2 linked regions of the Canis lupus familiaris genome follow. Each later gene encodes a partner of the first gene's protein in a complex. Links are inferred from orthologs where the notes say so. Each region holds a gene or a part of one and is shown on either strand. Other genes may lie near its edges. The genes, in order: SMAD1 and SMURF1.

Region 1 (3,905 bases):
TTGGAGGCGCACGGGGTGTAGGCGGAAGAGAGAGGGGAAAAAAAAAAAAAAAAAATACGCGCCGCCGCCAAGCCTTTGAATAAATTAGAGGGAATTTCGGTGCGAACTTTCCTTGACCTCGACCCCCAAGAGGCTCGCTGGGGCAGGGAAAGGCCCCCGTGCGGGATGCGGAGGCGCGCGGGGCACCGGGGGCCCCTGGAGCCGGCCCCGCTCGGCCGGGCGCCCACCGCGCGGAGGGCAGCGCCCCGCGGCCGTCCCCCAGCTCCCGCAAGGGTCGCCCGGGCCGGCGGGACACAATGGGGCGGCGGGCGGCGGGCGGCGCGCACGGGCCTCGGCCCGGCTGCGGAGGGGGAAAGAGGGCGGGAGGGGAGGTCCCGCGGCGGCCGGCGCCGGGGAGAGGCTCGGGCGGAGGAGCGCGGCTTCCCCACGGCTGAGCCAACAAAGACGCGAGGAGAACGGCGCCGAGCCCCGCCTGGCCGGCCGGGCGCCACAGCGGGAGCGGGAGCGGGAGCGGGAGCGGGAGGCGGTGGCAGGTCCGCTCCTCGGCGCGGCCGGGAGGCGCCATCATGGGGGGGGCCCGGCCCGGCCCGCCCCGCGCGGGGAAGAGCCCCCTGCCCGCCGCGGCCCGCGTCACCGGCCCCGCGCTCACCCCACGGGAGGCGGCGGCGGCGCTGGAAAGCAAGCGCCGGGCGCCGAAGGAGGGCGGGGACGCGGCCAAGGAGAAAGTTGGGTGCGGGTCTGTTTCGTTTTACCGGGTTGGCGGCGCGCCCGTCCGCGCGGGCGCACGAGGGGCCGGACGAGCGGGGTCCCGCGGCCCCGGTCCGGCCGGCGGGGCGCTGCGCTCGCAGGGTGCCTCCCCGCGCCTCGGCCCGGGCTCGGCCGCTCGGCCTCCGCTTCCTCCGCCCGCCCGCCCGCTCCCGGAGCCTGGATTGATCTGGTCGCGCTGGCGTCAGGGAGTCGGAGCCGCCCAGCCTCCACTCGGCGGCTGCCAACAGCCGGCGCACTCGCCCGCCCGCCCGCACGCTCGCTCGCTCGCCCGCCCGCCCGCCTGCTCACACGCGCACCCGCGCGCCGCCGCCGCCGCCGCCGCCGCGCGACCAGGGATCCTCTCCAAATTCCCGGCCGCTGAGCGCGAGCGCGGGGCCGCGGGGCCGGCCACCTCCCTGCTCCCGCCTCCCCCAGCCCGCCCCCGGCCCCACGCCCCGTTGACTCCAAGGAGAAAGAAACCAGCCTTCTTTCCCCTGCTTCCTGGAGTCCCGGCGGAGCGGGCTTGGTGCGTTATCCTCACGTGAAGTTCGAGGTTTAGTCTTTATTTTCTGAACTACTCATCACCCGCCCACCGCGCCCTCCGAACGCTACCACCGCACCCGCGGGGCGCGTTTCTGACCATTCTCTTTCAGACCTCTCCTTTTCATGTCCAGTTTCCATTGCCCTTCACTTTTGCACGCCCCACAAGTTGCACGTACCCAGAACTGGATAGCCTAGTGCTGCTGCATCTGCTTACACCCACCCGTATCGCTGTTTTGTGTTTTGGGCCAGTTCAGTATGTGATGACTTGAGTGGGTAACGTAGTGGTTCTAAGTAATGGCAGATGCCACAGTGGAACTCAACTTTTTTTTTTTTTTTTTTTTTTTTTGGGATGGAACTCAACTTTTGATCCGATTTCTATAATCTTTTATATGACACCAACCCCCTAAAATAAAAACAGACTGGCTCTCATCTAACCTGATCTGCATAGACCTCGAACATATCTTTTGTAAGAATTAATTTTTCCCTTGGCTAGCTCTCTGGAAGCTGGCATGAAATCTTGGATAATTACCATAATGTTGAGTTATGTTTAGAGAGGAATGATTACTCTGAGGAATAAATTTCTCACGAACTCAAAGAACCATTACCACCAGTATAAAGAAAATATCAAAGACCGAAGGAAGTTAATGGTACTCTCCAATTGTTCATGCACCTTTACATGTCCACAGTCTATTTTAAATTCATATTTCTTAATTTATTTCTGCATTCCATGTTTAATTATTCAAAAGAAATGCAACAAGCCCCATAAGACATACAACACTTTGTAAATTATAGATCAGAATATTTCAGTTCATCTCTTTGTTAAGCTATTTGAGCACTTACTGGTCAAGTCTTGGGCCTCATCTTATTTTCCCTAAAAGCAGCATTTGACACAGTTCATCATTCTCTGCTCCTTGAAACAACAGCTGGCCTGAGCCTTGTGAAATGCCACTCAGATCAGGTCACTCCTCTGCCCAAAACCCTTCCCTGGTAAATAGAACGTGCTGTATACACAATGGAACATTATTCAGTCATTAACAAGAATGAGATACTGACACATGCTGCATGAATGAACCTGGAAAATATTGTATCACATGAAAGAGGCCAGATACAAAGCCCACATATTTGATTCATATTGAAATACCCAGAATTGGCCCATCTGTAGAGACAGGAAGTAGAATGTTGGTTGCCTATGTTTGGGAGGATAGGGAGATCGAGGAAGAGCGATAGCCAAAGGTTATCGTGTTTCTTTGGGGGGGGGGGCGTGTAAAAAATGTTATAAAATTAGTCTGTGATGGTAGTTACACAACTCTGTGGATATATTAAAAGCCATTGAATCGTGCACTTTAAATGGGTAGATTAGATGGCATGTGAATTTTGTTTCAATAAAGCTGTTTTAAAAAGATACAGCAACTAAATGTAGTGTGTGATCCTTAATTGGACCCAGGATTGTGGGAGAAGCTATGCAATGACAATAAAACTCACTTTTTATTTTATAAAAATTATAAAATTATTACATTTTAACCTACACATGACCTTGCTTAGTACAGTTCTGATCGCCACAAATGACAATTATTCACACTGCATATGCTATGCAATTTGATTTTACCCTTTGTGCAAGTTATTTCTTTAAATGGCGGCAATAAAAAATTGGATACTTTTTTCAAAAAAGGACATTATTTGGACAATTGTCAAAGCTTGAATATGGCTTGTGTATTGATATCATTGTATCAGAAAACCTTCCCGTGGCTCCCCATTTCATTCAAGTAAGAGTTCTCACCATGTGTACAAAGCCCTCCCTGATCTGTGCTCCCAACTCCTTCCTACCTGATCTCCTACTCTCTCCCTTGCTTACTTCCTCAAGTCAACCTGGCCTCCTCACAAGTCCTGGAGCAACCTGAGTCCAATCCCATCTCAGGGCCTCCACAGTAGCTGTCTCCTACCTGGAAAGCCCTTCCCACATGGCTGTGGGCCTTCCCTCACCCCTCTCAGGTCTTCATCCAACTGTTCCCCTCTCAATAAGACCCAGCCTGGCCACTCTATCTAAACTTTTACCTACCCCTCCCAAACACACATGTTTTGTAATCCTCTTTCCCTATCACTACCTAACTACTTAGCTGAAAGAACAGGACTTTTGGTCTGTTCGGTTCATTGCTATTCTCTCAGAGCCTAGAACAGTATCTGGCACCCAGTAGGAGCTTATTAAACACCTGCTGAATGAATGAATGAATGAACGAACAAACAAATGTGTGAGGCACTGTTCTAATTACAAGGCATATAGTTACAAACTACACAGATAAAAAATCCCTGCTCTCATCAAAGAAGATAAATAATGAATAAATACACAAATATTCTAGGTGGTGGGTGGTACATGGGAAGGAAGAAGCAAGGTAGGAGGGATTGGGAGCAGGGGTGGGTGCTATGTCTATAGGGGTAGGGCAAAGCTCCCTAACAAAGAAGTCTTGAAGGAAGACAGGGAGCATGCCACTGATCTAGGAGGAGGGTCACCAAACTCCCAAGCAGAGTGAGGAACAAGTGCAAAGTCCCTGAACCTGAGTCTACTTCATTCAATCGCGGATTATCCAGGAGGCCAGTGCAGCAATGCAGGGAGAAGCTAG
Region 2 (3,905 bases), on another chromosome or scaffold:
GCGGGTGGCTCAAGGGCTCGGAGCTTGGCTCCTTAAGATACAAACCAAATAAAGGCTTTCCAAGAATTAGGTAGTTGGTCAAAAACAACTTTGGTAAACAAGCCCAGCTTTTCTTCTTTAGTAACAGTTATTTCCTCTCCATTACAGGTTAACAAAGAGAGGAGTTTGTTTGCTGGAGAAAGCCTAATGAGCTCTTAGCTCTACCCTGCAACTCTGGGAGGAGGGAAAATGTTAGTTTTTAGTTCAACTCTGCAATCCTGGGAGGGATGTGTTAGCAGAAGGCGGGGAAACCAAGGCCGTAAAGCTGCCTTTGTTGGTTTGGATTGTATGCAGATTGGATCATAACAAACATCTACTCAACTTTATCCCTCTCTCCCATCTTGTTTACCTTGTCCATATATGGCACTTCCAGCGATTCTGGCAAGTGTAACGGGTCAACAGAGCGCACTACCTTGCACAGAACACACGTAGGGGACTTTTGTGTCTTTGAGAAGTCTCTCCATTGAAACTGCATTCTCTGAAAGCTCTACTCAAAAAAAAAAAAAAGAAAAAGTGGTACCTATTTGTGCAAGGTGCTTGGTGTGTCGTAACAGGCTACGGGTTCACGTAATCCTCCTTCCAATATCTATGTGGGGGGGGCGGGCGCCCCGGAGGCTGGAGAGACACCCGGAAAATCAATTCGGTCCGCATCTGCAAACCTGTTCCCTTGGACAATGTGGCGAAGACTGAGGGTGGCGGTTCGAGGGCCCACATGTGGCCCCGCACCCTAGCTTCGCCTTCCCCCGGCCTCCAGGGCGAGCTCCGCTCCCAGGCCCCGAGCTCCTTCGCCCGGCTCCCGGGGGGAGGACGTGGGCAGGCCCCGCCACTGGTTCCAGACCCCGCGCGCCCCTAGCCAGGCCTGCGACGTAGCCCCGCCCCGCCCCGGCGTGCTCTCGGGTGCGCGCACGCACGCAGGCGCGGGGGCGCACGGCGCGGGCACGCGCAGGGCCGGGCCGGCACGGCGGCGGGAGCGCGCGCGGCTCCGGGAGGCGGCGGCGGCGGCGGCGGAAGCGGCGAGGGCGGCGGGCGTCCGGCTCTGAGGAGGAGGAGGAGGAGGTGGTGGTGGCGGTGGCGGCGGCGGCGGAGGCAGCGGCGGCTCTGGACTGGGCTCGGCTGGGAGCGGGCGAGGGTCGGGGGCGCCGGGTCGAGCGCCGATCCCCCGGCTCGACCATCCTCCCGCCGCCCGGACGCCTGGGCCGCGGAGTTTGTGTCCCGGCTCGGACCCCGGCGCCCAGCCCGGAGCCGTAACCTTGAGGCGGCGGCGGCGGGGCCGGGCCGGGCCGGGCCGGGGGGCGGCGGCGCTGGATCCGCGGCTGCCCGATCGTTGGCGGGAGATGTCGAACCCCGGGACGCGCAGGAACGGCTCCAGCATTAAGATCCGTCTGACAGGTACGGCCGGCGGGAGGCCCACCCGCCTCCCCCCGCACACCCCACCGGCGCCCGCTGGCGCCCCGCACGGGCCCCCAGCAGCCCCGGAATTCCCCGCAGAGCGCCCCGGTGGAGTGGCCCTCCCCCACGCCGGCCGTTGTCCCAGGACCTCGTCACCCCCCTCGGCGAGTGCCCCTCGCTCCGCGCTCCCGGCCCCGCCCCCTCGCGGCTGCCGGCCCCGCCCCCTCGCTCCTCACCCCCCACCTTCCCCCCCCACCGCGGCCCTCCCGCTCCCCTCCTGCCCCCCCCACCTGCCCCGTCGCCTCCCTGCTCGCGGCCCCCACCCGGCCGCGGGCTCTCCCCTCTCGCCCCCCTCGTGGCCCCGCCCCCCGCCGCTCAGCCCCCTTCCTCCCCCTCGCTTTCCCCGCTCTCCCCTCACCTGCCTCCTCGCTCTCCCTCCCGGCCCCGCCCCTCGCTCTCGGCCCCGCCCCTCGCTTCTCCCCACCTCCCCATCCTCTCTGGCTCGGCGGCCTCTTCTCCGCGGTACCCGGCGCTTCGCCCCGCTACCCTCCCGGTTCTTACTCCCCCCGCCCCCACCTACCCCCCGTCCGGCTTCTCCCCTCCCGGCCCCGCCCCTTTATTCTCCTCGGCGGGGCTCGCTCCCTTTCCCCCTAGGCCCCGCCCCTGCTTATCTCGCAGCCCCGCCCCCTCGCTGGGTCTCGCCGCCTCCACCCTTTCCTTCAGCCTCGAATTCCTCAGTCCTGTGGTGTGGCGTGTCCCGGTCCTGTTCTCTTCACTTCCCCGCTGCTCCAGACCTCTTGAGTCTGGCCCACTTCCTCTGTGCCTCGGGCCAGGCCACTGTCGGCTGCCTGCCGTGCTGCCCCGGTACTTCCCCCATTGCACTTTCCCAGCACTGCCCCCCCATCCTAGAGCCCTGAGTGGGGCTGAGGGTCCCCCGCCCCCCACTGGAGGCTGTGGCAGCTGCACGAACGCCGGCTCCTCGATTCACTCTCACCGAGTCCTCAATGAAGTGCCCGCGTCTCCTCGGAGGCTCTGTAGTGCCACCTTCCAGGGTGAGCGCGAAGCTCGGCTGCGGCCGGCGACGCGGTGGTTCGGCCGCGGGTGGATGCGCCCCTCGCCGGCGGCCCCTTCCCCGGCCCTCGGGGCCACGGAGCTGCGGCCTCGCCTCCCCGTTCAGATTCACACCTTAGGCCGGATCGTAGGGCCGCAGACACGCGTCTGCCAGGGGACTTTCCGGACTCGAGTATTTCCAGCCCTGGAAGGGAAATACAAAGTTCAGGCTAGTTCCTGTCGGGGGGCTTTCCCTTGGATTTTTCTGTTGGATGGCCAGTCTGGTGAGGACCCCAGAGTCAGAGTTCGGTCGGATGCTTTCAGAGAGCAAATGAGAGTTTTGGACACTTTGTGGCAGATGCGTAGCCCTAATTTCGGTAAAATCCATGAAAATAACAATGGCGATCGTTTTCAAACGAAAGTTTCCTTTGAAAGTACGGAGCTGTTGCGTGACTCACATTTTTCTCAAGAAAAGTGTTGTAATTTTTTTTTTTTTTTTTTTTTTTTTTTGTAGAAAGATGTCAGATTAGGTTACAAGATAAGGCGGCCAGGTAATGATTTGGACCCAAATCCAGACCCTGGTTGTGTGAAGTAACAGCCATCTGTCCCAGGGATCTTTGCTTCTGGAGGAACATACTCTGTTCCAGGGCCAGGAGGAAATGCTTCTCACTATGTAGATACAGTATAAAGCATTGTTATTTTTATGGTTACATGAAAGACATGTTTTTGACTTTGTAATGCTTGTAAAACTTTAATTACTGACAACTTTAATTGGATTCTAATTTACAGTGTAATCTGTAATTGACATCAGATTGGTTTCATTTTTCTTGTTAAAAGCAGAAATAACTGATTTCATGAGTTTTGGTAGAAATGTGATTAATGTTTCAGAAGGAATAGGTTCTCATTACAATGTTTGTATCATATACACATTTATATATCAAACCAAGTTGGCAGGTCTGAGCCTTTCCCTTGAAAAAGGGAGGGCTTGGTTTGTCCTCCCAAATTATTTTTGGATTCAGAAATTTACATGCCAAAGATACAGAAATGCTTTGAAGAGTTTTGGATGGCATTTGATACTGAAGGATCAAGTGATGAGTGTTATTTCCAAAGCTCCCTTTCCCTTCATCCCTGTTGGTGTTAGTGATTGGGATGATGTGTGAGTGTGGTCATCCCTGCAACAGGATTTTTAGTGGTGATGGCAGATCCATGTCTGTTGTCTGTTGAATGTTAATTTATGTTGAGGTGCTGGAACCTCAGATGTTTTGGTGTAGAGTAGGTTTTGGCATCATCTTTAAGGTTGTCCAGGGCAGTTTGAAAATCTCTTCTTTTCTGGCATATTGGGTAGCCATCTTTCAAAAGTTGTATACTCTTGTTACAAGATTTAGAGTTTAATTCTATGCGTGATATTTGAAAAAATTTTTTTTTTA

What was found.
Region 2: the proteins of SMAD1 (region 1) and SMURF1 are in contact, whole or in part, in an NMR structure (PDB 2LB1), measured with the Homo sapiens proteins. The link is inferred for Canis lupus familiaris from reciprocal best matches to the Homo sapiens genes SMAD1 and SMURF1. Residues at the interface, in NP_001003688.1 of Homo sapiens: Asp221, Thr222, Pro223, Pro224, Pro225, Ala226, Tyr227, Leu228, Pro229, Pro230, Glu231, Asp232; in NP_065162.1 of Homo sapiens: Glu313, Val314, Arg315, Ser316, Arg321, Tyr323, Val325, Asp326, His327, Arg330, Thr331, Thr332, Gln333, Phe334.

The regions. Positions count from the first base shown.
Region 1 is NC_049236.1:44,384,877-44,388,781, reverse strand, and holds the start of SMAD1 (mothers against decapentaplegic homolog 1), read right to left. Parts: upstream 2,237-3,905; 5' UTR 2,131-2,236; intron 1-2,130. UniProt on the Homo sapiens protein: Transcriptional modulator that plays a role in various cellular processes, including embryonic development, cell differentiation, and tissue homeostasis.
Region 2 is NC_049227.1:10,465,757-10,469,661, forward strand, and holds the start of SMURF1 (E3 ubiquitin-protein ligase SMURF1), read left to right. Parts: upstream 1-1,136; 5' UTR 1,137-1,373; coding exon 1,374-1,428; intron 1,429-1,912; exon of another isoform or gene 1,913-1,989; intron 1,990-3,905. UniProt on the Homo sapiens protein: E3 ubiquitin-protein ligase that acts as a negative regulator of BMP signaling pathway. Mediates ubiquitination and degradation of SMAD1 and SMAD5, 2 receptor-regulated SMADs specific for the BMP pathway.